Linked DNA regions of Mus musculus: regions 1, 2, 4, 5, 6 and 7 are each reported to be linked to region 3. Evidence: microRNA targets listed by miRTarBase, many of them from high-throughput screens and not tested one by one. Region 3 holds a microRNA gene; each other region holds the end of a gene's coding sequence.
Evidence for each region. Region 3 holds the annotated microRNA mmu-miR-34b-5p (AGGCAGUGUAAUUAGCUGAUUGU, at 1,916-1,938, shown strand). A microRNA usually pairs through its seed, bases 2 to 8, with sites in the 3' UTR of a target mRNA and lowers its output. Matches are read on the target gene's strand: a 7mer-m8 pairs with bases 2 to 8, a 7mer-A1 pairs with bases 2 to 7 and ends in A, and an 8mer does both.

Region 1 (4,057 bases), not on the chromosome of region 3:
TCTAGTTCTAGTTTTAGTATCTTGTTCTTTTACCTCAAAAGCAAGCACATAAGTTTTAGTTCTTCACCATCCTTTATCTCACGACCATACCTAGACCGCACAGCTTCCTTCCTGTGCATCTTCTTGTCTAAGTTTCTTGTCTCCAGGGATTTCTGCTAAAGTAGCTAAGCAGACTGAATTCTTTTACTGTTAAATTGTTGTATTTATTAATTTGACAGACCCTAATAAGCCCTTTCTCTAGTTCTGGCTATCATGTCAATAAATATATGAGCAACCAAATGATTTTTAAAGTTTGATTGTTGATGGAATATTCTCATATTCAGGCTGTATTAATGCAGGCTGCACTGGATCAGTTTCTTCTGTATCATAAAATGTTACAGTTGCTTGAAGAACATTGAAGAGGCCTCTTCCTGAATAGAGCATATTTACAACCATTCATCTTCTGGTAACAGACCACGTGATAAAAATGATCAAAGCTATCTTCCTTACCACTTCAATATAGACCCAGGAAAACCCAGTATCAAAAGATTTTTTAAACAGAGTTCTGGGTAAGCCACCATATTCTCCTTTTTTCTGTTGTTCTTAAGAAATCATAATCTAAGAGTAAATAAAACAGATACTTATTGTCTGGGTGAGGTAGCCCCACCCCCACCCCCCAGTGGAATTCGGCTGGTAGCCTCATTTCCTAAAGGTGCTACAGAAGAACACTGGAAAGATGCTGGTAATGTTGTCCTTAAAAGCAACTGCTTAAAAATACAACTAACTGCAGAGTCTGCGGCACACAGTTCCGGTGAACAAGGTGAACAGCAAATAGAGGCTGCAGGGATTTCCAAGTCTATTCAGCAGCCGTGAACACAGGCTGCCATCCATTCTGTAAGTCAATGCAATGGAAAGTTTACCCTGTGGTATTATTTAACCTTTTCTTTTTCTTCTTCAGTTCTAGAAAATTAGGCAAAAAAGCATGTTTGTTTGTTTTTTTATTTTAGTCAGTGTTTCCTCAAACAAGAGGAGGACTATGTCCTCAAAGCTAGTTCTGCCTCACACCCATAGCTATGTACTGGGGTTGGGAACAAACAAAAGTGTCCCTCACATTTCACAACTTCAGCTTTTTAAGGGACACTGGTGGTCTCTACTAAAATTAGGGTGTCTCTAGCCAGGAGGTGACCTACATTTGGCTGCTTTGCCCACTGGTAACTTGTGATTTCTTCTCCTTCTAATGTATAAGAATACATTAGCTAGAATTGTTGCCAAGATTGTTCTTGATCACGCAGACCCTCTTACGTAACTACACTATTATATAACTCCTTTATGGATTGAATAAAGCTGTTGGTTTCCAGACCTTGAGAATTAGCTTCAATACAAAATAAGTCTGACCTAAAGTTGTTAGTAAAATAACCTCAATTAGAGCATTATTCATATAAATGTACTTTATTGTTTTAAACAGAACAAAAGAAGAGGCAGAAACATTTACATATAAGTCCTAGCTTATAAACATAGTTTTTAGTGGTGGCATCTCTAACACGTCATTCAGGGACTGTTTCCTTTTGCCTCCTTGTACTGTAAGCACTGACACTAGAAAGCACATCTGGTGGACATGTGTCTCCAGAACTGAAGGAACTTGGAGAATAAACATGATTCTTCTTAGTTCCTCTAAGAAATCTTTAGTAAGACAAAAAATGATCTTTGGCATAGATTCATACTTTAAAGGCATTGATATGCATTTATATCAGGTAAGCAACTATACAGATCTGCTGAGAGCTTTGAAAAGAATCTTTTATCAGCAAAAAGAAATAGGGGGAGCCTGAGTATTCAGGGTCAACTTAAGATTTACAAGTTCAGTGTTGGGATTGGACATACTAGATGTGGGAAGAACATCCAGGAAGAAGGCCTCACTCCTGTATTCGTCTGGTTCCTGATTTCTGAAAGAAGCATTTGTATACTGGGAAATGCTTATACAGCCAGGATAAATGCAAAAAAAAAGGAAAGTCACTTTTACACTAACTTTGCCCAATAGGAAACATGCCTTTCTGATAAATAGATACCATACTCATTATTCTTGAATACTTCGTATTTATGGAAGGATGAAAAATGCTTGGTTGTAGTTGATTAAAAGCAACTGGGAACTATAATAGTTCCTACTGATTTTTCCCTAGAAGCACCAGAAGTATAATCTGCAAATGCTAGTCTCCCAGACAAGATTGCCTTTCCATTCAAGTCTCTTAAGGAGCAAGCCCTAATTCTTAAGTCTCAATTTTGAATGAACCTTTCAAAGTTACAAGCAAAGTCAAGTGTGGTGGTAGGAGCTAACAGGCTGACACAGGTAGATCACTTGAATCCATAAGTTCAAGACTAGCCTGGACAACATAAAGAGACCCAGTCTCAAAATTTAAAAAAAAGAAAAAAGTGGGGGATGGAGGGATTACAGACAAACACATACCTATGTATCTTTAAAGTCTTGTTTAAAGAAGCATACAGAAGAAGACTGCCAAAGCCTAGGATGATTTGGTTAAAAGTAAATGCAGCACTTCAGCTCAGAAATTAAAGAAAATAAGGGCGAAGAATGAATGCCAAGGCCTCAGCACAGACATCTACTGGCAGTGACAAAGCATAGAAAATCTGGGAGTGGCCCCACTGGGAGGATGGGCAGGATAACACCCCAGTGACTCTGTTCCTCTAGTGACAGAGCACCAGTGTGTTTACAGGATGGTTACCTTGGCAACCAAACAAGGCAGGATGTGAGACAGGAAGTTTCCATAACACATACTAGTTAGTGGCATGGTAAAAACAGAAATAATGATTTCCTCACAACAGTGAAAGTTGGTTTCCCATTGTGAGGAACTAGGGTTACACTGGGAGAAAGCAGGAAATGAATCCAGGCCGCACAAGCTAGAACTCTCCAGAGACCACTTTTTCCTGCAGCAATGATGCACAGCCCAGAGAAGGTAGGCAGGGTCAGCAGCAGGGGGGGAAACCCAAAATAACTTTGGAAGCACAGTTATTTAGACTTGCCTCAGCTCTAGGTCTTGAGAGCCTATAGTGGGGAAAGGGAGTTGGTGAACCGTAAACACAGAAATGACCCCCGGGGCAGAGCAGGGCTTCCGGCTAGTGTTCACGCTTATTCTGAGCTGCTGTAAAATCCATGGGAGAGAGTGCGCATAGTAACTGAAAGTACAGGGTTTATAGAGAGACACATTTCAAAGTGCCCATGACAAGAGTATAAATGTTCCTTTCTGGTGTGTGAAGCCAGGGATTGATGTTTCCATTCCTGACAACTCTGAATGGCTTCTGGAACTCAAGATGGTTCTCTTCTCTTTAGCAGAGGTGTATGTACCAGCCAGATTTGACGAGGTGCCTACTGGTACCAGGGAGTCTTTCTGACCCAGCGCAGAGTAAAGCCAGCATCTGTTCGGATTTTGATTGAAGCAGCTTCAGCCTCTCGCACAGTCTCCTTCACAGACTGCATGAGGTTCTGGGCATTATGAACCAGCATCTCTGTGGCCTGCAATAGGAGAGCCCTGTTACTATAGCCCCTAACGCAGCACTCGCTGCCAGGAGTGGGCTGCAGTTAAGCCCTATACCCGATCCCCCTGCTCCACCAGTAGTTTAACTACATAAACAGCAATGTTTATACAATTTGGCTTGTATATCAATGACTGCACTGTGTCTTTGTATGGCTGACAGCATGCACTGGTTTTGAAAGGTGGTGTTCTTTTAGGACTCCTGCTATGTCCTCTACCTGTAACACTTTTCTTCCAAGTATGCCAGACTCCCCCTCCAGTGTCCAAGCATTCTTTACTTGAAGATATTTTTCTTCATAAAATCCATCATAAATTTATGCTATATATTATACCTAGATTGCTTGGGGGTGGGAGTTTTTTTCTTAGTTGGCATTTGCTTTTGGTGTTTGGGGGAGGGGGTAGTTTAGTTTAATTTATCTGTCTGTATTCTTTAAGCTCCATAGGGCAGAGATTTTTGTTAGTTTTTTCACTGCTCTCCACTATTTAGTACAGGATGCATTTCAAAAGCAATGAATGAAAATAATCAAGCTAATCGACCC
Region 2 (4,067 bases), not on the chromosome of region 3:
AATAACACTGAGCACCCCTGGTCTGCAAACTTGCCACACTTTGACTAGATGACCTCTTGTGGCCACTCCAAAGAAATACTGTTTCTTGTTTTGGGACAAGATATTTAACCAAAGTCACACCAAGTGCTGAATGCACTCAAGCTCATTGAATAAACCTTGTAATTTCACCATGTTACGACCTTGCTGACAGGACTTTTGAGACATCCTGGTGGCCTGGGGTCAATTATTCCTGTGCAGGGCTATCTTGGGTCTCAGGGTTCTGAACCCACAAGTCTTTCCACTGTCGTCTGTGATTACACACTCAGTTGAGGGGCTATTTAAGAATTTCTGGCATGCCAGTTACTGAAATCTCAAACAGAACCAGAAAGGCATTTCAAATCTAAGAAAGTACTTCAATTCAGAAACTTAAGATTTGAGCACACAGATGCCAATTATCTTCATCAGCCTAAAATACTTGCAGCCATCTTGGTGGCCCAAAATGCTAATCTAAATCTTTGTGAAGTGAGCAAATGGAAGTTGAAAGCACCATGCATCCATGACAGGGACTGAAGGAGAGGATGAAGATAATCACGAGTGTGCTTTGCTAGAAGATATGGTAGCTTACCCTGTTTTGAACCAGGAGCACATGGTCCAAAAGTAGGCTGGGATATATGCTGATAGAAACATCCTTTAAGAAAAGCAGAGGGGCAAAAGGAGGCAAGCTTTGTAGTATCTGCAAAGCAGGGTCAACTTCTGTACAGTGGACACGCAGACCCTTTGCTGAGGCTTGTGCTGTGCCCAGCCACAGAATCACTCACTCTAAAGGCAGTTTCTTAAGCAGAGAAAAAAAAATGATGACCATGCCCACATGCCTCTTGGATTCCATGAATGGAAACTAGCAGACCTGAGGCTGAGCTCACTGCCCAGCAGCAGCTCCTCCATCACTGCAGCAGTGTGCCCTATTACTCCAGGCTGTCAAACCAACGTCTTCTCTCAAGGAAAGGGACTGGCAAATTCTATACAGGGCCAGAACATACTTTAGCCTCTGATGGCCAAAAGATCTTTGTCACAATTTGATTCAATGCTGCTATAATGAGCAAATAGCCATAAATAATATATATATACAAATGAGGCTATGTTCAATAAAATTTTATTTATGAACACTGGAGTTTGAATTTCATATACTTTTCTCATGCTACAAAATATTTTTCAACTTTTAGAAAAACATTTGTTATCCTTTATTCTCCCGACATTTTAAAAATCATTCTTAATTCACAGGTTGTGTAGGTCCAGAGGGAGGTGAATTGGCCCACCGACTGGGCTACTGACCCCTAGGCTAGAGTTAAAGATTTTTTTGCCAACTTAATCTTCAACATGCAGAGTGTGAACCATGTTACCTGAAAGGCCACAGCAGGATTACTACATCTACTTCATTTATCAGTCCTCACTCACTCCATTCAATTACTCACTTGGCAGCTCTCCATATTTAGGTACTATGCAAGATCCTTGCTTGAGACACTGAAGGAATAAGACATGGCTCTTCTCAGGTTCTCAGTCTCTGCAGCATCTAGACATTGTAACTTCTCATGAGTATCAGAGAAGATATAAAAGTGTAGTGATGTATCAGGCTGTTTTGTGAGACAGTTGTATTCAATGCTTAAGTTGACTGTAACAAATTACCACAAACTAGGTGGCTTAGAATAGAAACTTATTTTTTTCATCATAATAGAAGTCTGAAATAAAAACAGCAACAGGGTCGCTTCCTTCTAGAAACTCTGATGGAAAGTGTTCCATGACCTTCTTCTGGCTTCTGTGGTCCAGGAAATTTCAAGATATGATGTTACCTTTGCCTCTATCCTCCCAGGACCTCCACTGCTTGTTTCCCCTTCTTTTCTCTTAAAAGGACTTGTCAGTAGGGCTAGGACCCACTCTCATCCAGGACGATGCCATACATACATAGGTCCTTACATTCACCTGAAAATGCCCTTCTTCAAAATGAGGCCATATGTACAGGTTCCAGACATTACCCTTTATGGAGTAAACTATTAAACCCATTATAACACTGTAGAAGCCTCCTGGAAGACATGGCCAATGTCATCTAAATGGTTTTTGGAGGAAGTAAAAGAAGCTGATTTTTGAAAGATGACAGCTGGTGTTGGTCAGACAAACATGAAGGAGAGAAGAAGGAAGACCAGGTTCAGGTTGTAGCCAGATCAGTTACGAAGCAACACCACACGGAACAATCTGTAAACAGCAAGTAGTTAAGCTTGGCTGGAGAGCAGGGTAGGAAGTGGAACACGAGTAAGCAGGAGGCCAGAGAGGTCAACAGGAACTTTACCATCAAGTGCCGTGTGCACCACAATCTGGCGCTCTGATGGAGAGGGTCCAGAGGGCAGCCTGTGATCATCTCCCATGGTTAAGCACTTTAACTGTGTCCCACCTCAGGTCACCTTGTCATTAAGTCCCTGACAAGGCTGAATTCGACAACTTTCAAGCAGCTTCTCTCAACTGAGACACATTTCTTTGCCTTGGGCTTTATGATTTTAAATTGTAACTCATGTCACTTCCTACGACCAGTGAGATCTCGGACTTTCATTTATTTCCTCTGGAAGTACTCTTATTGCTCACTCTCCTCCAATGTCAAGGGCTCCTCGTGCCTTCGAGACACCATGTGCTTCCTGTCACCGCCCTTTCATTCCTGAAACCGAGAGCTGAGAAAGTACGGGTTTCCTTCTATGACTACGCTCACAAAGATTAAATCAGAACAGAAGTCAAGTTAATGTCGACACAATCACTGGTCATCTTATACACAACAGTTTTAAAAGCAGTCTAACTTATGTACATAGACAAAAAGTAAAGCAAAACAACTGAAAAAGACATAGCTATTGCCTAAGAGAAAGAAAAATTATGTAATGTGTATATGCATTCCATAGAAATATATACAGGGAAAACTTCCAGAAACCTCAGTAAACCAAGCCACACTTAGAAAAAGGAAAGCTGATTTTTATTTTATCAACAGCCATTCTTAAACATGAACATGCATACGTAATATTCTACGCACACATCACAGTTTTTAACGTTAGTTAATAAATGTTAAACACACAACATACAACCTTAAAAAAAAAGTCAACCTGCAAACTTAAAACTTTAAACAAAGTCTTACTAATTTAAAAAAGGTTTTGTGTTGGGTACCATTTGTACAACACAGTTAATTTAAACATTTCCATTTTGGCTGCACATGAAAAAGCGGCAGTAGAAAATAAATTTATGAGGGTTTTAAATAGCAGAATAGGCAGTTTCGCCATGCAGGAGAAGCAATATTAAATATTAGTTTTCAAAAAAAATCCACATTTAAAAATATTTAGTTCAAGTCACAGAACTTTTCTCAGTAGAGACCTCAATGCAATGCGTAATTAGCTGCCTTAGATGGCCTGTTTTGAAAGGACAAAATCCCTTTCAAAGTATAACTTTACTGATTTTGGCACAGAAAAGAAGTCTTAAGAACAAGAACATGATTTAAAAAGTGGGAAGAGGAACAGAGGAAAGAAACCAAAGCAAGAATAAGGAGATTTGATGGCATTCACTAAGACTGTGCATTCTCGGTCACTGAAGAACACTGTGTGCTCCATCTGCAGTAGGGGCTTGCTCCACAGCTCTTACTGCAGCATGGACCTAATTTGCTTGGAGGTAGTCTCATCATTCAAATGTTTTGTTGTGTACCTATACAAAATAGAGAGAGAGAACAATGTTGGAAAATGAAAGTCTGTATGGGCTGTGTAATATGCCAAGATGAGTAGCTGATCACTCAATATCACAAATTCATGCCTTAGGGTGAGTTTTAATCCTGATCAGGCTCTCTCCCCCATCCAACAGGAGCAGCCAGTTTCTGGTCACTTGGTTATAGGGACCTCGTTGAAATGATTAGCCAAAAATCTGAAACAATTTCGCTATGTTTTACTCTATGCTGTATAAAAACAGTACCTTGAAATACTTACATTCTCTAAGTACCTTATTTCAGGGTAGGTACACTTTGAATAAGCGTATAAGTCCAAACTCAAAATGAATTCAACAAGATGAAATATTCAATT
Region 3 (4,067 bases):
CTATTTCTACTACTTTTATTTATATTTGAACGTTTAAATGACCTTTTGTAGGATACATTATACTTTTCTCAAATACAAGAAGACTGAATACAAGATAGTTATTTACAAATGTCTTTCATAAGTTAATTTTATAATAATCTGGCATTTTCTACTTCATTTTCCTTTCACTTAAGCCTTCATAAAACAATGACTCTGAAGGAAAAAAACATTGTCTTTTACTTTCAAAGATAATGTTAAAATATACACAAGTTTATTCTTGGGAAGTTCTTGGGTTTTAATGGTTTCCACTTGGAATTTGTGTTGAATGTTCCTGATGATTGGCATATATTCATGTAATTAGTGGCATCTACAAGACCATTTGCTGGGCTTACAGGTATCAGTGTATAGCTAAGAAATGTCCCTTTGTAGACTGCAAGACTGTTGGATCAATACAAATGGGTGTCATACAGCATACAGGAAGACCACAGTCTGGGACGGCTACTTCCTACTGAATTCCACAAAGTTTGCAATCAGAGAATACTGTATATCCTCTCTGGGCTCAATTAATTAAAGGAAAGGAGAGGAAAGACTAAAGGAAAGAAATATTAGTGAAGATGGCGCAGAAATGCTGTCCCCTCAGCGCCTCCTATTCCCAATATACACAAACACGCACCCCGTTATCAGATATAAAATAGCAAAAACAAGGGGAATGTAACTGACAGAAGATATGGCTTCTCGGGCTTCTACAGACCTCATCCTTAATGTCCAAATCTACCCTTGCTTCAAGGATCTACCTGAACTCTCACCTCCTCCATGATGGTGTCTGTCAGCTCTTGTTGGCACACCTCCCACCCCCACCCATACCTGTTTTTTTCTATTAGGAAAATCTATCAGTTTAGCAACTTTATACTGTCTGGAGTAATAAATAATGTGTTCACATTTTGTTACCACCTAGACTGTCTGATGGGTAGTAAGACAAACGCCTGTTAGGTGCTGGATTTGTAACATTTAAATAAAACAGGAGCCCAAAGTGAGACTAGATATCCTCAAGGCTCACGGGGAGATCATCAAAACTGTGTCTTTGATCTTATAAGGGCCACAACTTTGACCTACCAACAAGGGTGTTGGTTCAATGTTTGACCAGAAGAGTGGCCCACACTTCACTGTATGGCCCTGTAAGAGGTAGTCCTAAGAAAGAACTTGGGTACAGGCAAGGGCAATCCTGCAGGTATGAGTGCCCAGGCCTGCTCAGGCAGGAAGGCTCCAGATGAGACGCCTGGGAAGCGGTTTCTGAGAATGGGCATATGAACAGTGAGGAGGCCTGGGGCTTCTTGGGCAATATATTGGGAAGGAGAGATGGATGTAGGTCTCTGCGCTTCTTTCTTCGATGTAGCAGTAACTACACTGTGAAGATAAACTTCTCAAGAATCTGTCTCTCCATCTCCCCGGCCCCTTCCCAGGAGGCTCTGCAGGAGCCCTCCCATTGCCCCTTCTGGTAGCTTCTGCCACCCCTCCCCCACTCGCCCCGCCCCCTCGGCCTCGGGGTTCCAAGGGCGGTTGGTCGCTGAGCCACGGTCACTCGGCCAGTAGGAGCTGCGGGGCGCGCGGGCTGGACAGAACCGGCTCTAGACTTGGGTCTGGAAGCCGTGAAGAAGTTGTTGGAGGCGGGTCAGACCCGGCTTGCGGGAAGAAGGACTCGGGCCGGATGCCCTGGGGTCCGGGCTGAGTCGGGGGTCTCGGGGGGGACGGCGGGGACAGGGGGCCTCAGCGCCTGGGGGTTCACCTGGGGTCGCGCGCGGCCCTGCTGGGTGTGGAGGGGCCTCGGGAGCCTGAGGCACCTCTCGCTCCGCCGCCCTCGCCTGTCGACCGTGGCGAAAGGGGGCGAGGGGCCCGACCCTCGGGAGCTGCAGTGGCGGGCGCCCGGTGCTCGGTTTGTAGGCAGTGTAATTAGCTGATTGTAGTGCGGTGCTGACAATCACTAACTCCACTGCCATCAAAACAAGGCACAGCATCACCCGCCGCCCGCGGGAGGAGAAGCCAGCGCTGCAGCCCCACTGACTCCGCAGAAAGCCGAGGCCGGAGCCAGGATGCGTCAGCAAAGGGCCGGGAGCACGAGGTCTAAGTGCAAGTAACCCTCGGAGACCGGCGGCCTCCTTTAGGGACCGTTCGGCTACCTGTGTGTAAGAGCCAGAGCAAAAACGGTTCAGTGATGTGTAAAGAGAATCGGTATACACCGGCCTTAACATAAAAAAAAAAAAAAAAAAAAAGGCCAGGAAGAGCCCCCCCCCCCCCCCCCCCAGAACAGTTCCTGCTGCTGCTGTGATTCACTGCCTGATTTCCACTTCTGAGAAAGCTATCACCAAGGCAGCGACTAGAGTCAACCACAGCTTGGCTGACGATTTGCTCTGGTCACACCAAAGTCTGAGAGCACCAGCTAAAGACTGCATGCTTTTTTCTGAGTCTAGTTACTAGGCAGTGTAGTTAGCTGATTGCTAATAGTACCAATCACTAACCACACAGCCAGGTAAAAAGACTGAAATTCCTCCGACTGAGCCTCCTGTGAATCGTCATTTTGGTGAGGACAGAGCCATAGGGAAATATTCTTACCATACTATTAGTGGTTTGGGGGGGGGGGGGGAACCGCTAGCCCTTAGCTGCTAAGTATACAATGTATCAATTTGTGTGGGGTACATTTTTTGTGATTTTTAGATATATTGGAAAAATAGAAATTATCCCTTAGCTGATTTGGTCATTATATTGACTTGTGATTATAAATCTTTGGACTTTGCCTGACATATTAATAACACTCTAAAAAATAAAGCGCCACGAAAATCTCAGCAATCGTGTTCATTTCCTTTCCAAAAACTGGCTTTAGGATCTCCATTTCAGCTCCTGTCAACCCCGTAAAGTCATTAAATGGTTAGTTGCTATACAGACAAAATCTCCAGGGAAACGTCTCACACATGATTGTGACCTGGAAGGGAACGTTAAATGTTTTCATAATTTTCCATGGGGCAAGGGAACTCAGCCCACTTAACCAGGTATATTTTTTAAGGTATTAACAGTTGCGTTCTAGGCAACTTTTCGTGGGAATAATTAGTGAACACGATTTAAAACCAGCTGGTTTCCTAATATCTGTAATAAAAGATTTGAGAGGTTTTAAATCACACAAGCTGTATCCACCGGTACTTCTCGGCCCAGTTCTAGATTAGCGCTTTATGCAGATGTATCAATGCAAACCTGAGAATTTCCCCAGAGGTAAGAGTGCGAAGCCTTGGCAATCTTGTCCAAAAGAGGAAGGCGCTCTTTAAAGCTCACATTATTGGGCTATCTGGGGGAGGAGGAGACGCTGGCTGAGGATCTAAGAGACAGTCCAGGACTGTACACATCACAAAGTTGAGGCTTTTACTCTTAAGGCTTGACTGGCCCCGAAAATTGTGACCTCGACAGAAGCCAGCTGCTGATGGGCCACAAGCCCTCGAGGAACCCCAGATCTACGGAAGAAGAAACACAGGCATTCCGGTGGTGGCAGTTACCAACAGGACGGTTCTCCGGTAGGGGCGGGACGCCAGAGCTAAGGAAAGCGTCCTGAGTCACCATGGAAACGGGGCCCAGAGGCTGTCCTAGCGGCAGGAAGGAATCCCAGGAAATCTGCTCCCCTGGATTACTGGTGTTCACCGGCTGCTCTGAGCAGGATGCCAATTTGGCTAAGCAGTTTTGGCTCGGGGCGTCCATGTACCCCACTACCGAATCTCAGCTCGTGCTGACCCGAGGCAGCAGTCAGAGGCTACCGGTGGCGCGGAACTCTAAAGTCGTTCTGAGAGGTGAGTAGCAAGGCTACCTCCTGGAAGGGGAAACTGCCTGGTCTAATTGTCAGTCAATTGAGAAGTACAAACAAGCAGAAACAGGCAGTAATAGGTATATGCAAATACACAAACAATTCTAAAACTGCTGCAATTCTCCACTGTAAAGGATCTCATTGTTACATATAAATTCATTCTAGAGCTGGAGAAATGGCTCAGCAGTTAAGAGCACTGACTGCTTTCCAGAGGTCCTGAGTTCAATTCCCAGCAACCACATGGTGGCTC
Region 4 (4,067 bases), not on the chromosome of region 3:
AGATCTAGCTTCTGACTCAGGAGAACTTGAGGGACCCACCTTGAATTTGAATTGTATCCCATGCATTCCCACTGTCCGAGCAAGCTGGGAAGCAGTGTGCCTTACTTCCTGGAATTGTTACTTCCTGGGGACCTGACCGTTAGCAGGCTTAGTGATAGTGGCTTTCTTTTCTCTCTCCAGTTTCACTCTCATCAGCTCTTCCACATCTTTGTGGTTGCTGGTGCCTTTGTTCACTTCCACGGAGTCTCAAACCTGCAGGAATTTCGTTTCATGATTGGCGGGGGCTGCACTGAAGAGGATGCACTGTGATACTCTCCAGGAACCAGGGACTCTGACCCTGAGCCAGGCCTGCAGGTCCTGCAGGCCTTCTTACTGGCTGTCGGTGCCAGTGCCAGAGAAGCCCCAAAACTTGGACAGCCTCATGGGCCTTGTGTTGGCCCAAGGGCTCCATGGGGTACAAGACTAAGAAGAGAAAAACAAAAATAAATCATACCTCAAAGGATGGAATGCATCGATTAGGAGAGAAGGAGAAATGGCTCATCCCCTGGCTTCCTCTTGGGATCTACCGATTGAAAGCAACTCTGCAAGACCCTCGCCTGACAGGCTGGCTTCTGATGTGATCGTATTTATTTGTAGAAGATGGGGAAACAGTTTAGTTGGTGGTCTTTCTTCTCCCTTCCTTGCTCCTTGCAGCAGTAACATGTATGAGTACCATGCACCAACTGATCGTGCCATTGGAGCTCCTTAAACAGTAATCACAACCAAGTTAGGGGAACATTTGTATCCAATAAAGGGGTGGGAGTGCGGTTTTAGGCACTCCTTTGGGAGAACAAAGAAATTAATGTAAATAAGATTTCTAATTTACTGTTTAAATAAGAATTTATATAAACATTTAAGACATAGGGGCAGGGAGGGAGGGAGACTTTTTTTAAAAAGAATGAAACATGCAAGTACCACACACTGTTTCAATTTTGCACAAGTGATGGGAGGAGGATGGAGTGGTAGCCCCAGAATGCACGATGTCTTGGTGCACCAAGGTGCCTTCCCTAGGCCGATAACACTTGGACCCTGCTGGGGCAGAGTGGACAGCCCCAGCCCAGGAACTTCCTGGCCACTCTCAAGACTGAGAGCCTTTGGGCATTCAGAGGGGGAGGGATGTGGAAGTCGTGTGTGCTTTTCAATGGAAGCAGCACAGGTTGTCATAGTGGCTCTAGAGAAAGTGTCATTTGGGAGACTGTTATGTAGGCTAGTGATGACCCTTTTGAAGAGTGAAGCCACCTGGTTCTACTGTAGATGTAGTAGAGACTTGATGAAGGGGAGGAGGACCTGGGGGCATCAGCATAGGAATGGTCTGCTTCTCCCTGGTGTCTCGTTTGACCAGGTGGTAGTTCTTATCTGAATAGAGGTATGGCCATTTTCCAGACCCTCTCTGTGGAGCTCTGAGCCATTCTGCAAATTTTGCTCTATTGAGAATCACTGCCCTAACTGTCCTTCCTCCTGGAAATCAAAAACTGCCCCCCCCCCCCCCCCCCCAGCATCAAAGCTCCTTCGTGGAGCCGGCCACTAGTGAGATTCTGATGAGCATGGGTCCCACCTGAAGTCATGCAGGCAGGTGTGGAGGACCATCCCTTGGACTAGGAATGGTGGCGCTTTTCTCTGGTGCAGGCTTGGCAGGCTTGGCATGACAACAGATTCTTCTCCCGTTGAACAAGAAAGTCAGTAATACCTACTGTGGAGTTGTTAGCACGCACTGAATGCCATTTGCAAGACCTGTGCTACAGAGTTGAAAAGGAAGTGGACTGTTATTACCAGGTAGTCGGATAGAATTAAACCCACAATTTTGAATTGCTGCTAGAAGTTACAAATAATTTCTTTGTCCTAGGGCCTTCTTGTTATGGGTTTTAGAGAGTGGCAGTGAGTTGGGTCTTGGCTCCTAAGTGAGAAACCAAGCACTTGAGTCTCTTAGACTCTAGGCCTCACTCCTTGGGGCTGGTGGGTATTGCAGTGTAACATGGGCCTCGGGCATCCCAAAAGGGGTGCTGGGCAGTATGAGGAGGTCCTGTTTTTACAGTAGTGTTTTCTTGGTCGTCGTTGTCCTTCCTCTACCTTCAGATCGCCACCCAGCTGCAGCTGGGACCCAGGAAGGAGTCCATTGAAAACCTGGGAAGAACTTCAGAGTATTGGGTTGTGGATAAGGTCACTGCCCTAGGTAGGCCCAACAGGAAGCTCTGGGTGAACAGCATTGTGCCAGACAACTAAGAACAGTGTTAATTCCTCAAGAAGCAGTTCATCAAGACAGTGTCCATCCGGAAGGAAGCTCACCTAGGCTTGTGGTAGCAACAGCACATATCAGCAGCCAGACGCACTCTCTGGTCGTGCACTTTGGGACATGAGTTTGAGACGCTTCCTCATGACACCTACAGGAGTAGAGGTCTTTGGGACTGGTCATCCCTCTTCCCAAAGCAGGGAGACTCTGGTTCAACATAGCACAAACTCTTAGGGAACCGAATCACCACCACCACTGTAGTCCAGTAACTTCCCTTCGGTGTGTGTGTGTGGGCATGTGTGTGCCCTGTATGTCTGCGCAGCTCACTACCAACAGCCTCCATGTGCACTTGACCTTGTGGTGCCTCCGGGAACTTTCCAGGTTGGCACCTGAATGCCTTACTCTCAGCAGTCTGAGGCTCGCTTGCTCTGCGCACACGTTTCAGTCTCCTTTTTTGGCCCTAGGCTGGTTAGGAACCTGTACACCTTCACTCTCTCATCATTAAATAGTGGCCTTTTTCAGTATTTCCTCTCTCCCCTCTATAAGTTGCTGAAATCACAAAGCACACTTTTGGGGATCATAGAAGGTTGGGGTTCCAGAAAGGCATCTCTGTGATGGTTCCATTCACTATGGGGATTTCCCTACTTGCTGTCTTCTTGATTTCTCTAATAAAAAGAGCCAAATGGAAAATGAGTTTTGTTGTGTTTTTTTTTTATTGTTGTCCCCCCCCCCCCTTTAAAAACTTACCTCACTTTTGGGATATCCTTAATATCCTAATTTAGTCAGGAAGTTTAGGGAATTTTTAGAAACTTCCTGCCTTCAGGAGGTTGATGCAGGAGGATCATGAGTTTAAGGCTAGACTGGGCTTACACAGACCTTGTCTAAAAAAGGTGAGCTTTCTCTATACCTGGTTAAAGTGACCATCAAGGCCTCAGGGCTGTGTGGAACCTGACCACATGCACTGGGCCCCTGTATTTTGTCCGCTCCATTTGCAAGCCACTTGAAACCCTCAGGGTGGTGCTGCTGTAGCCCAGGGACAGCCTTACTGGGCACAAGCCATCTGATACTTCCCCACACCCAATCTAAGTGCTCCATGGCTGGGCCCCTCAGAAACGACTGAGGGAGACAGGCTGCAGCCTCCTGCCCTATGGCCACACTAGACTCAGAATTACGAGGCAGGTGCACATCTGCTTCATCCTGTTGTTTGCCGTAGGATATGACTCATTACCTTCCCTGGTTCCATATGCTCTCACCTGTCAGGTTACCTTTTACAGCCTTCCTGATGCATGGTTCACCATAAAGAGTATTTCGGAAGCTGCCGAGCCCTTGCTCTTTTATATCTGAGCCCCTCTCAACCTCTCTGCTTGCTTTTCTGACCCTAGGATGTGGTCACTACTATGTCCCCTGAACCAAAACTTGACGTAGCATCACAAAATGCTGTTGAAGCCTTTTATTTGAGGTGGTTCTACTCTAGCACATAAGCTCAGCGGCACATTCCTGGTGCTTCTGACAGGGCTCCAGCTCTTGTGGTTGAAGGCAACACAGATAAGGAAAGATGCCAGAATGCTGCATTCCATTCATTTAATCTCGGGGGTGCCAACTTCATTCCTCTAAAGTCAAGGTGCCAGATCTTTCACCTAATCCAGACTGCAGTCTTCCAGTGTCTTGGTGGAGTTATGATCACTCACTGAGGAGGGCTTAGCTTGCCACGTCATGTCTTGGCCATCCTCCTACATGTCCTTTGGCGGCACTAGTCTCAGAATTGAGAGGCAGGCACACCTTGGGAGATACCTGGTGTCCA
Region 5 (4,067 bases), not on the chromosome of region 3:
TTCAGTAGGAGTGAGCCATCTGGTCAACCTTGCCAGGCTTCTCCTAGCCCTTGGATCCACATCTTCCAGGGAGAGAGGCTGACACACATGGAAATGTTTAATTTGAAGAGAAGTAGTGGGCTGGTGAGATGGCTCAGTGGGTAAGAGCACCCGACTGCTCTTCCGAAGGTTCGAAGTTCAAATCCCAGCAACCACATGGTGGCTTACAACCACCCATAATGAGATCTGACTCCCTCTTCTGGAGTGTCTGAAGACAGCTACAGTGTACTTACATATAATAAATAAATAAATAAATCTTTAAAAAAAAAAAAAAAAAAAAAAAAAAAAAAAGAAGAGAAGTAGTTGTTCTCCCTCCCAACACCCATTGGTGGTGTAGGGGAGAAGACTGTATGATTCATGAGCAAAAAACAAGCAGGAGAGGACTGTAAATGCTAGGGATGTATTTGACAGCAAATTGCAGACTTCTGGTTCTTCCAGGCACTGACCTTAGACTGCTGTTGTATTGTTCTCCATGGATGCTGGCCTGAAGGCTACCTCTGAAGGCTCTATCTAGATGGACCTGTATAATGTCTGCCTGGTACCTGAGATCTAGCCTCTGCACTTAGTGGCAAATGTTATCTAGGAGTGGTCAGAAAGCTGTCTCCCAGATAAAGAGATTCACACTCTTAAGAACTGCAGGTGCGGCAAAGCACGGGGGACACTGGTCTGGCATGGAGGCACTCTGATTAGAATAATAGATGAGTCCGGGGATGCCCACGGTCCTCAAGAGATCAAAGTCTTCACTGCCAGGTTAGTCCATTATCTGCTGAAACTAACAGCGCATCGGGTGTGTCTCAGCACCTCAATAGATCGATCACATGAGTGAATGGGTGGGTGGCCCTGGCTCATGCGCTGGAGACTGTTCCTCATTGTGACTCTCAATATTCCAAAGAGTCACAAAGTGCCCTGGGGACTTGGAGCCTGAACAGGGAACATTTGTTTATCCCTAGTGGAAAACATGAACAAAAGCCCATGAGTCCACACCGTCTGGGACTAGCTCCCATGCAGGAGGCAGCCGAGTTTCCCACCCCTCAGGTAGAGAAGAACGGTCCAGGAGGCAGGAAGAAGTGCTGGGTGTGAAGAGATGGCCTGAATGGCTCAGAGATGGCAATAAATGCCTTCATTCTCTGGCCCCTGAGCACAGAGCTCAGAAACCCTGGGCAGCTGACTCCTAAGAGTATGTAGCTGGCTGCCTGGGCAACTGCCCACCTTGTGGCTAAAATCATCTCCAGAGGCATTTCAGTGTCTGTCAGAGCTAAATGTTTAAAGCCACAGGTGTGTGTTTTGACCATCTCCTCTTTCAGCTATGGGCTACAGAGCCTAGCTGAGCCCCCAGGGATCCCAGAAACTGTCTTTAGTCTCTTATGTTATTGCACCATGCCGGATTCCATCTGTCCTGGAGTTGGGGTGGAGATGACCTAGTGTTGTGCACCTCCTTCTGCATCCAGCAGCCTTCAGGGTGCTCTCTGGCCCACACTCCTGGTTCTAATAAAGCATCTTGCAGATCTAGTCAGGTCCTGATTCATCTCTAGTCTACTGAGGCCCTGAGGCCACAGTGGAGACAGAGACCAACAAGTGGCAAGCCTACCTACTAAGGGTATGGCATAGGGGGCTGTAAAGAAGTATCTGTCCCATACATCCGAATGACGTGGGGACCCTCTTGGGGCTCTAAGGAGGTAGTTTGAGGACAAATAAAAAGAGCACGGAGCAAGGAACCAACTCGTAGCTTGCCAGTTACACCAGAAGGTTTTGGCAGAGCCAGTGTGTCGCACTCAAGGTACGGGGCACAATTTCAACGGTTTTGTGGGATAGCATGGTGGTGATGTGGTGTGGGCTTCCTTTCCCAGCATCAAGAAGACAGGGGCAGCAAAGCTGTACAGCTGGGATGATAGCCAACTCCAGCCACGCCATGCTCTCCTGAATGCAGCACAGGATGGTGGCCGCGGGCACCTCAGTTTGCAGCTTTGGGCATGACCACTCCAGAAGCAGCAGGCTGGGAGCTTTGAGACCTCCTGGCAAGAGCCGACAAGTGACACTTGGCAAACATGTCTTACACAACATTACAGAAAAGGCAAAGCTTGAAGGGGCGTGGGCCTGAGCATTCACTCTGCAGACTCAATCCTGTTAGGTGGGAGGGCAGGGTGCAAGCCTCAACCGAAAGATGGGATGGCTCAGGCTGAGAAGGCCAGGCTGAGATGGGCTGGCCCAAAACAGCAGGAAAACCACAAAGACCGGCTAGGATGCTGTTATGTCAATGTTAACCATGGTGTTCTCAGCAATGCGTTCACCTTCTCCCTGGGAGCCCTAGCCCCACGGAAGCTCCTGATGAAATTCATTTCTCAAATACCAGACAATAAAACCCAAGTGTGACACTATCTTGGGAGAAGGCAAATTCAGGAACCTCCCACCTGGGATCTTACAGCCTGAAAGAACGCTTTTACCAAACACAGTTTGGAAAATACCAATGTGCTGCACCCAACCCGACTCCTGTGCTCCCACAGAAGCATGGATGGCCTGGCTTTCCTGTTTGACCTTTGAACACTCTCCACTTTCTTATTGACATATGTATGAGAACAGCTCTCAGCAAGGCTGTGGGGAGCAGGCCTGGGCCCACTAACCTGATCCGTATGGATTCCCGGATTCCCTGAACCCATAGGACTTCCTGTCTCTTGCTAGGTGTGCTAGTGACCCAGCCTGGTATGACTTCAGAGCTGTGGGTCTCCGCTGAGCAGGCCTCTCCCCAGTGGAAGCCAGTTGGCAGTGGTGCCAAGACTGTCTTGAACTCATTCATTTTCTGGGGATAACCCACAAGTTCTTAGCCTCATTTGTTTCCCAAGAGCTCAGGTGTAACATCCTTATACACTAAATTGAGTATGTGTGTGTGTGTGTGTGTGTGTGTGTGTGTGTGTGTGTGTGTGTGTGTGTGTAGGGAGTTGATATTCCTGGTCCTAAGAAGCCTTTACCAAGTGCAGAAGTGAGATCCCAGGCCCACCCTTCCTGAATCAGACTGCAGAGTGAGTCGGCCTGCTATACTTCAGGTGCAGGCATTGAGTGAGGCAAGGAAGCAGCACAGAAGGGAGTGGAGATGCTATGGGCGGCTGGGCATGAGGTAAGGTCAGCATTCCTCTAGAAAGCAGATCCCACCTCTCCCCGGCTGCCCCGACACCTCGCCAGCCAGAGCTGTTGGACCGGCTTTGGATTCCAGGGGCCCCTCTCCGAGGCAGCTCTCTCCTCCAGTTCAAGGACACTAGGAGATCCGGCAGCAGCCGTGAACTTTCTCCTCCATCTCCTCCATGGGGGCCTTGAACTTCAAGAGCGGGGGATCTCCGCTGGTGACTGTATAATACACCGAGGTCCCGTTGCTGCTGTAGGGGGAAGTTCTGCCTCCAATCAAGGGGGCCTTGCCTTCGCTGCTGCTCTCCCCCGACCTGGCCACGCTGCTGCCCAGGTGGGTGCTTAAGAATGGGTGACTGAGCAGCTTGGCTGCGGCCCTCTGCCTCTTCAGCTCCAGGAGCGTTTGGGGGCTCTGCTCCTTGAAGCCACTCCAGGGTGGGGGGACATCAGCCACGCCAGGGTTGCCGTAGGCCATGCTGTAGTCAGGCATCTCGTGCATCTTCCATATGTCCCCATTGGCCAGCGCATACTGGTAAGTGCTGACAGGAGCCCGGAGGCCATTCTCCACAGGCCCATCCAGTTCTCCCCGTGAGATCTTGGTAGAGAATTCTGAGAGCAGCACGGGCTTCTCCAGCCTGGGGTTCTGGGGGACAAGAGGATAGCATCAGTATCATCGTTCAGCTAGAGGGTCTGTACCCACCAGCTACCTGCACCTCTGCTGAGGGACACCCAATCTCTACCTGTTTCTCTACTCCTATGTAGCTCTGGGGCACCAGGCTCTGTATGGTAGGGCAGACCAATGCCTATCCCACTCCCAGGGTTGAAGTGTGACTCCAGGCTCGGCTAATGAGCATATTTTATTGCCAACGTCTTGGGACCAGTTCATAGAAATGGGATCAGTGGAACTCAACTTT
Region 6 (4,067 bases), not on the chromosome of region 3:
TAACATTGAAATTGATAAAAATAAAACTTAAATTTTATGGAGTAGTCCTATTCTATAAGAATTATACAGTAGTTAAAATATTTAACTAAAATTCCTCTCCTACTATGAAATAATCTGCCAGCTTCTTCTAGAAATAAGTTTTCCAGGTGTTTTAATATTACAAAGCTGTATTTTCTAGGATAGGAACATCAATTGCTCACGAAGAACAAGAATATAGAACCCAAATATTATATCAAGCACCACATAGGCAAACCACATGAAATATTTTTCTTGGTCCAAAGCTATCAGCTCACCCCCCCTCTTTTCTTGGTTTTCACAAAAAAAAAAAAACTGTTTTTTATTAGCTTCACATAAGGATTAAGCAAACATAAAGACTGTAAAAGTATCTTTAAAATGTGCTTAACAATTCATAAAAGAAATGAAGGAGATAATTTAAAAGATTTCTTATGGTTTGAAAATGCATTCCAAATATTCATTAAACATTTGAGTGAGTAAATGTGTAGAATATGTTTCTGACATTGGCGCTGGTTTGGTGGTATTTCTCTGATCAGATGGAAGTGCTATGCGTTATGCAGGGTGCATGCAGTTCATTCATGCATAAACAATATCATTTTCATAAATTAAAACCTTCCCTGCAGAAGGAACATCTGTGCCTGCCTTTGAATAAAAGATGGTGGCATGTGAGTTACTCCCTGACTGACTGAAAGAATCCCTACGCCTTTAGAGTGAAATTTTAAACACACACAAAATGAAAAAGAAAAAGAGTGAAGCAGAGCCTTCATCCTTCACGCCTACCTCTAATGAAACCCATAGTCTAGATTCTTTTGCTTCCCATTTTAAATGTTGTGATTCTAGAAACACCACCCTTGGTTCTTCTGTTGACTCTAGCAACAGTTTTTAGTTTGCATGGAGATGTCTAATTTTAATTACAGGTGAAACTGAGCTGCTTAATAGATCAGATCAGATCTGAATGTTCACTTTATGGTTTCCTGTGCTGGGAGGCTGAAGGATTCTGCTATCAGTATTGTGTCTCCTAAAGTCAATGGTGAGAAAAATCCAGGCTAGGAAGCAACAGCTTGATTCCAAAATAACTGCTCTGATTCACTTGGAAAGAGACAACTACATTTGGGGTAAAGTTGGGACCAGCTTTAATGTATTTCTGTGTGTGATAAAGGCTGGTAGAAAACATTATTTTAAATTACATTAATTTTTTTGAATGTTGAAATATCCCTTACTGCTACTGTCACAGCTTGATGGGGCCTCGTTGGCAACGTTATTACTATGGCTAATTGTTCCTGTCTATTAGATTACTCACGTTTTTCTGGAGCAGCTTACTAAATAAGGTCAGTTTTCTGGAACCCTTAAGCCACCAACGAGAAGGAGATTAAAGGAACATGCTTGCAAGGGAGGTAGGCATCCAATGTGGTATCCGAATCAGAGAAGGAACAATGACAGCAATCAGAATCACAGTAGAGACAATACAACTGCCAAAATGCTATTCCATAAAAATCAAGACTGTCAGTCATTTCTCATGGGAAGGGAAATGCCAAACTATTTATTAAGTAGACTTACCAGAAGTTAAGTTGGTGTGGTGTGGTGTGGTGTGGTGTGGTGTGGTGTGGTGTGGTGTGGTGTGGTGTGTGTGTGTGTGTGTGTGTGTGTGTGTGTGTTTATAAAATCAAAATATAAAATAGCAGGACTGTACAGAAAACTGTGGAGTAATATACACTCCTAAAATAGAACACAAATAGTATATACTTATGTACCAAAAGCTCACTAGCACTTTAGTGGAACAATTAGTGAAGACATCCCAAACACTTAATAGAACCATTATAAAATGCCTCATCTTTTGGGAGCCTTTCAATTAATTAAATAATTTTCCTACAATATCAGATATATAGTTTGGAGTGCAGGACTGTTTGAAAGAAAGCTATCTAGTTCAGGAAAGATACAGATAACAGAACAGTGAGAAAATATTCAATTTTGTTTATGCTTTAAATATGTATAAACAAATTAAACTAAGGTATTTGCTTATGTCTTGCTAGTTAATACTTAAGTAAATCCGCCTGAAAAATAAAAGAAACTTCTAACAATCATTTCAACAAACAGAGACAAACAAACAAACAAAGAGAGTAAAGGTGAAGACGTTTCACCTTTAGAAAACCAGAGTTTTTTGTCCAGCTTACTCTGTGCTCAATACTCCAAATAATAAAACAGAGGCGAGGTCTGTTTGTTATCTGAGAAGCCAGTGACCCTCTAAGCAAGATAACAGACTAAGCACAGGACAAGCTCAACTCTATATTTTATTCCTAATGTTTAACATTTAACTCAGCAAATACAGACGTTGATCCTCCTCGCTACAATTTTACTCTTTAAAATCCACTTTCGAAAGAAATGAAACAATTGTTTTGATTTTCCATACTATTTTTATTGCAACTGCATGGGAGTTTTCTAAATTGTGCATTACACCATAATACACAGGATTACAAACAAGATTACAGTACATGTCAATTCCAGTAGTACCAGCATCACATCTCAAACAGCACTTATTCTGGACTGCATTTTACATGCAACAGCTATTGTTCTAATTATGAATTCGATGGTTTGAATTTTATTTAAACTACTGTACTAACTGACTACACAGGTATAAAAACCCAACATTAACAACCTGAATAAATTTAGGCTCAGATTTATTACATGAATAGATGACAAACCACCATTTGTTTGACTATGTATAAAATCATGCATTTATATTTTCTGGAAACATCAATATCTTCAAACACTCCGTAAAATCATGGAATTCAAAGAAGTAAAAGACTAAAAAGAAAGAGTGCAAATTGTATGTGATAGTCAAGCAGCTTTTGATTTAAAGGAGTGTGTGTTGGCATTTATTTATAATATGTATTTACAAGCTTGTGCAAGTAATGAATTGATGTGTTTTGATAAGGAATGCATTTCGGTTTTCATCCTCTTGAGTGTTATGGGTCTGGTTTCTATTTTAGGGAGCGAGCAGGAAAAACTTTAAAGTGAGATGAATTGCTCAAATTGTGCAATTTGTTGGTTTTTTTTCTTTTCTTTTCTTTTTTACAATTAGAGAAGAAAGAAGTGCTAAGGCAACGCAATAACTTTCTAAGCACTTTTCTGCTGGTTTAAATTAGTTAAATTATTTTGTATAAATTAGATATAATTCTACTTTTCTGATATGTATAAAAATTGATGAAGCTGCATGGTTTTAAAATAGGAAATCCACGTTATAAAAAGTCATTAAAAATTCTGTACAAAATCACAACAAAATAATTCAGCATGGGAAAGGTCACAGGTAGTAAAATGCTGGTTGAAAAATATATATTTATATATATTTTAATTGGCCCATTACTAGTTTAAAAATTGCATAGATCCTAATTATTGCTTGTGATTTTTTTTATCCCGATCAGATAATTAATACGATCTGAATACAGCTACACGAAATTCGTGGTACACATTTTCTTTTTTACTTTACTGTATTATTATTTTTAAAATAGAAGAGCTATAGAAAACAATACATAAGGTGAACAGGAACTTTGATCCCCTGTTTCTTCCAAAGGCAGTAACGACAATAAATACATATATCACTTGAAGCTTTGAGTATTTGCACTTTGCAGCAATCTTAGCAAAAGGGCTGCCTTCTGTAAACAGGACAGTCACTGTACGCACAGTGGATTCGTTTCCCGGGAATAGTGAAACTGACGTGCCTCTAATCGTGAAAGATGGCATTAAGCTGGGCACTCATGACTCGCTCATGATGCGAATGGCTATCGAAAGACATAATGTTGTCTATGGGGATCTCGCAGCGAGGGGCAGCGGCACCGGAAGAGAAGATTGATCCGTGGCTTTGGGGCCCTGCCAGCGTCGCTGCAGGGTAGTGCATGGTAAAGGCATAATTTTTTTCAAACTCGGCGGATGGTTCGTGTTTGAAAGAGAAGTTGCCATTGATGCTGAGCGGCGGGCTGAGGGGTCCGTCAAAGGAAGGGCTGGTGCAGTCAGTTAGGGGGCTTTCAAAGAAGGGCTCCAGAGCTGCGCTGTAGGCG
Region 7 (4,067 bases), not on the chromosome of region 3:
ACAGAGGGCTATGCCCTTGAATGGGCGGTCATATGGTAAAATGGAACAGTGGGACCCAAAGAGCCATCTCAGACAAAACCACCCTCTGCTGAGAAAACAAGAATGTGGGTGGGGAACTGGCTCTTTCTCATTTCAAGGTAACCAAGTTATCAAAGTTGCTAAACTTTTCCTGGCTTTGATCAGTATGTTCTCATAAGGAAAGGAAAACTGTAAAGTTGTATGCCGGCTGCCTCTTATGTTCCCATTAACGGGAGTCATGTTTTATGAACTCAGGTCAGACCCATTAGAAGCAATGCATTTCCAATACCATCAAGACCCCCACTCCTGGAACCAGCTTCTGGATCGATGATTGCTGGCACACAGCGCTCATGGCTCCAGTGTCCAGCTCACTCCACTTCTCCCTCGGTCCTTGATGAGCTCATTCTGAGGGATGAGACTGAGCTGACTCAAGCAGTGTCTGGGCACGCAGAGGCTCAGAAGCATCCAGCGGAGCCACCCAGGCAGGCAGGCAGGCAGGCAGGCCAAGGATACACAGCATACAAAAGAGGCACCGTCTGTCCTTCACTGTCTGAAGCAGCTCTCTCAGCATTCACTTCTCCAACTACCAGGCAGGGGTAAGAAAATGAGCTTGCTTTGCTCGCCCCAAATTCAAATACAGTTTTAAAAAAAATGGCCTTGAAAAGAAATCTGTCTTTCACAGTGAGTCAACCCACAGAAGAGCAAAGTCACTTACAGTGAATTCTCATTAAAATAAGAAGTCAAGAGCCTCCTCCCCTTTAGCAAGCTACCATCCGTAAGGAGTGATTTGGGGAAACAGGCATGAGGGTCTCCCAAGACCTACAAAAATTGTATAACTGAGTTTACAGTAAAATATACTAGGTATAAATTTCTGAAGGCTTTTGTTGTTAGTGGTGGGCTTTGTTTGGGGGGTGGCCAGCCTGCACCCCCAGGACAAGCACTTACTGCCTCTGAGGTGCATTCCCACCTCTTCAGGATCTTCAAGTTCTTTGAAAAGAGACAAATTTTACTGTATTTATAATTCACAAAGACAAAAAGGTTCCGTTACAAAGTTTCTTATACCCTGCAGCTCTAACCACAGCTCAGATACTGCTCATTTTTCTGTCACCTTCTACCAAGTGAGGTAGTTGTCACTTTAGGACAATTTAAGGCTATGGGGAACATTGGTTGAAATAACTAACTGGCCACCTGGAGAGGTGTCTCAGCTGACATTTTGGATGCTAGCAGTAAAGCCCAGGGTCTTCCAAAATTACATGTTAAAAGCGGGTCTGAAGAAGCCCTAAGAGCTTCCTGAAAATACCACCTTCCTCCTCGATGATCCTAAGACAATGAGTCTGATGCTGTATTCCTGAGTGAGCACCGACCTCCCTGGCTGAAGGAATTACACACATTACACACTTCCTCCAGTGCAGTGGTGAAGATCACAATGAAAGAACCAAGCAAACGGCAGAAACTTGAGAGTCTGTCCCTCGTAAATGATCCTGCCAGCTTCTAAGAGATCTGCAAAGGCAAGGGATTCGGAAGCTAACATCACTGCAGAGGCAGCGTCTCTACAGAAATGGAACTGTAAGTAAGTAGAGTAAACTCAGGGGATGTAGCTGATGCTAACAGCTGAATGGGCACCAGAGGCAGGCAGTACACCTGAAGGTCTGTTCTCTGCCGTGGAAAAGCGTGGCAGTTACAAAACTAAAATTGCATAGAAAGAAACTTAACAGATGGTTGTTTAGGGCTTATAAATGATAAGATCTGGGAGCATGCTGGTGGTTAGGAAGGCTGAATGAATAGAATGAGTACATAAAAAGAAGACAAGGAACAAGGAGATAAGGTTGATTTTGTTGTGGCGATAGCGACCCAATCAGGGCCTTGCATGCTGAACCAGTAAGCATTCTACCACTGAGCTATATGCCCAGCCCTGGAACAGTTTCCTGACTATAGTAACTCAGAAGGTATGTGATCTGACTAGGGGGGAGAAGGGTGTAAATAAGACTTCTCTGCCTAGCCATAATGTAGGAATCAAGGTAAGGGGAACATTTATATATAAGAAACAAGAAATTTGACATGCCAGCCAGTGGTAACATACTTTGGCAGAGGCAGAGGCAGAGGCAGAGGCAGAGGCAGAGGCAGAGGCATCTCTGTGAGTTCCAGGCCAATGTGCTCTCTAGAGCAAGTTCTACGACAGCAAGGGCTATGCAGAGAAAATGTGTCTCGAAAACCAAAACAGAAGAAAAAAAGAAGCTTGGTATACCAGCACAGGCTTAAAATTCTAGCAGTGTAAAGGCGAAGGTGAAAGGATCAACCTGAGGTACAGCAGCAGGCCCCAACCCAGAAGGAAAAGTCAAAACAGAAATACCAGATGCTCAGGGACTCTCAAGTCTGAGGTACACAGTAGGAGATATGGAAGAACCTCAGTGTTAGGAAGAAGGCAGCGGCAAATGAGACAAATTCTCAACTGTGCACACTCTACAGGAAAGGGGACACACCATTCCTGAGTGGGAAAAGTCAATGGTGAGAAACGGCAAGAAAAAAAGCCAATATCAAATATAATAAAAAGCTTAGGAAACCAAACCTACAGAAGGGCAGCAGACGTTCTCCTAAATGCAAGCAAACTAAAAATCAGACTGTGAGCATTCAAGGCTCAACAGCAGCAGCTCCAGGGGTTTCACAGGTAATAAATATCTGGGGTCAGTAGGGTTTGTACTCTGGAGCACTTATTGGGTAAAGAACATGACTTTCTTGCACTTAAAAAAATATATTTGTTTAAAAAACAAGATAGGTAACAATCTATTTTTTCTTCAATATTTAAATCATTCAGGATTATTATAAGGATCCAGTGAAATAGAGCAGACAGAAGTAAAAAATGGCTCAGACTTATAGATTCTCTTTAAAAGATGCAGCCTCCATTTGAATGCATTACTGCACTTAATACTCATTTTTAAGGGTCTGTCACAGTGACAGAGTTGCCAGAACTCAGCAAACTTTTAAACAGGAGCTAGACTGTTGTGGGCAAACAATGACTTCAGGAACCGCAAAGTGGGCCAAGTGCTCAAATGTCAGAAGCGAGCTGCCGCAGCCCTCAGTGCCTCCGCCACTCTTTCCTCGAAGAGGACCAGCCTGAGGTACACACCAAAAGTACTGCCAGAGGGTAACCCACTCAGCCCCTCATTCCAGCAGAACTCCTGCACCCGCTCCAGGCTCTTATAAAAGCCTGGGAGAATCACACAGCACTTACAATGTGGCCACACCAAGGTACCATGCCAGTCTATATGAAAACAACAGACTGCTATTTAAGTCAAGAAATTGTTCTGTGTGAAAGTGGGGTACTCTGAGCCCTCCTCTTCTGAGGACAGCTCCTCATCCTGGGTAAAGATGCTCCCTAATCCATACTCCTGTTCGTGAACAGAAACTTCATTTGGCGTGAGGTGGAAAGAACCTTCCACAAAGTCAGCAAATCTGCAAAAGAGAGGGATGTTTGTGAGGAAGCGCACGTCTGTCCTTCCTGAACGGCTTTCAAAATAAGAACAGACTAAAAGGCTCAGTGTGCCTGTAGTTCAAATTATACCGAATTTAACAAAGTCCTGCCCTTGCTTCGGCAGATGCATAGACTGAAGCAAGAACTAGGCACGAGGCAAGGCTGGGATCCCAGGCCAACATGCTGGGCACTCTCGTCCTGCTTGGCACTAACTACGCTGTCCTTGTCCTGGGTAGTTACGAAGTGCTAAGGTTCCCTGAGTCACCATAGACCTGATAAGAAGAGACTGAGCATTACAGTTCTCTGCACTTATGGCCCTATAAACTTTATGCTATCATGATTCCAAACTGAAACTTCACATACTCTTTGGTACAACTGCTCCCAACCAAAGGGGGGTGGGGGTGGGGGTGGGGACTCAGACATTAACGTCAAACACACAAGGGCCACACTTAAATACGGTACTGAAGTCTTCACAAGTTAGTGATATAACCCCAACAGTGAGGTAGCTGCCTGGGGAAACAAGAAATAGATTACTACTTTCTCTTGACTACTGCTCCTAGGTGAGCAATAATCAAAGGGC

Region 1: the mRNA of Vcl is a reported target of mmu-miR-34b-5p. Seed matches in the 3' UTR shown: 8mer at 2,593-2,600.
Region 2: the mRNA of Cyrib is a reported target of mmu-miR-34b-5p. The part of its 3' UTR that is shown has no 7-base or 8-base seed match.
Region 4: the mRNA of Adipor2 is a reported target of mmu-miR-34b-5p. Seed matches in the 3' UTR shown: 7mer-m8 at 1,475-1,481 and 7mer-m8 at 2,199-2,205.
Region 5: miRTarBase lists Ppp1r16b as a target of mmu-miR-34b-5p. Seed matches in the 3' UTR shown: 8mer at 2,795-2,802.
Region 6: miRTarBase lists Neurod1 as a target of mmu-miR-34b-5p. The part of its 3' UTR that is shown has no 7-base or 8-base seed match.
Region 7: miRTarBase lists Nemp1 as a target of mmu-miR-34b-5p. Seed matches in the 3' UTR shown: 7mer-A1 at 1,691-1,697.

The regions. Positions count from the first base shown.
Region 1 is chr14:21,031,029-21,035,085 of GRCm38, reverse strand. It overlaps Vcl (vinculin), which reads right to left. Exons shown (of 21, transcript NM_009502.5): 21 at 1,410-3,499. The coding sequence ends at 3,353. Ap3m1 (adaptor-related protein complex 3, mu 1 subunit) reads left to right here. Exons shown (of 9, transcript NM_018829.4): 9 at 1-1,344. Among named protein-coding and RNA genes, the nearest start is that of Ap3m1, 19 kb to the left of the region's middle.
Region 2 is chr15:63,927,981-63,932,047 of GRCm38, forward strand. It overlaps Cyrib (CYFIP related Rac1 interactor B), which reads right to left. Exons shown (of 13, transcript NM_001360036.1): 13 at 1,114-3,699. The coding sequence ends at 3,636. Among named protein-coding and RNA genes, the nearest start is that of Gsdmc4, 18 kb to the left of the region's middle.
Region 3 is chr9:51,101,481-51,105,547 of GRCm38, reverse strand. Mir34b (microRNA 34b) reads left to right here and starts at 1,903; the gene lies at 1,903-1,986. Hoatz (HOATZ cilia and flagella associated protein) reads left to right here and starts at 3,470. Exons shown (of 6, transcript NM_177702.4): 1 at 3,470-3,803. The coding sequence starts at 3,578. Mir34c (microRNA 34c) reads left to right here and starts at 2,438; the gene lies at 2,438-2,514. It also overlaps a transcript of Btg4 not described here.
Region 4 is chr6:119,352,042-119,356,108 of GRCm38, reverse strand. Adipor2 (adiponectin receptor 2) reads left to right here. Exons shown (of 8, transcript NM_001355692.1): 8 at 181-2,959. The coding sequence ends at 309. It overlaps Cacna2d4 (calcium channel, voltage-dependent, alpha 2/delta subunit 4), which reads right to left. Exons shown (of 38, transcript NM_001033382.3): 38 at 3,702-4,067. Among named protein-coding and RNA genes, the nearest start is that of Lrtm2, 23 kb to the right of the region's middle.
Region 5 is chr2:158,761,083-158,765,149 of GRCm38, reverse strand. Ppp1r16b (protein phosphatase 1, regulatory subunit 16B) reads right to left here. Exons shown (of 11, transcript NM_001159662.1): 11 at 1-3,796. The coding sequence ends at 3,287. Among named protein-coding and RNA genes, the nearest start is that of Fam83d, 5.0 kb to the left of the region's middle.
Region 6 is chr2:79,450,231-79,454,297 of GRCm38, forward strand. It overlaps Neurod1 (neurogenic differentiation 1), which reads right to left. Exons shown (of 2, transcript NM_010894.3): 2 at 2,407-4,067. The coding sequence ends at 3,734. Among named protein-coding and RNA genes, the nearest start is that of Neurod1, 4.4 kb to the right of the region's middle.
Region 7 is chr10:127,695,629-127,699,695 of GRCm38, reverse strand. It overlaps Nemp1 (nuclear envelope integral membrane protein 1), which reads right to left. Exons shown (of 9, transcript NM_001113211.1): 9 at 1-3,468. The coding sequence ends at 3,303. Among named protein-coding and RNA genes, the nearest start is that of Myo1a, 7.6 kb to the left of the region's middle.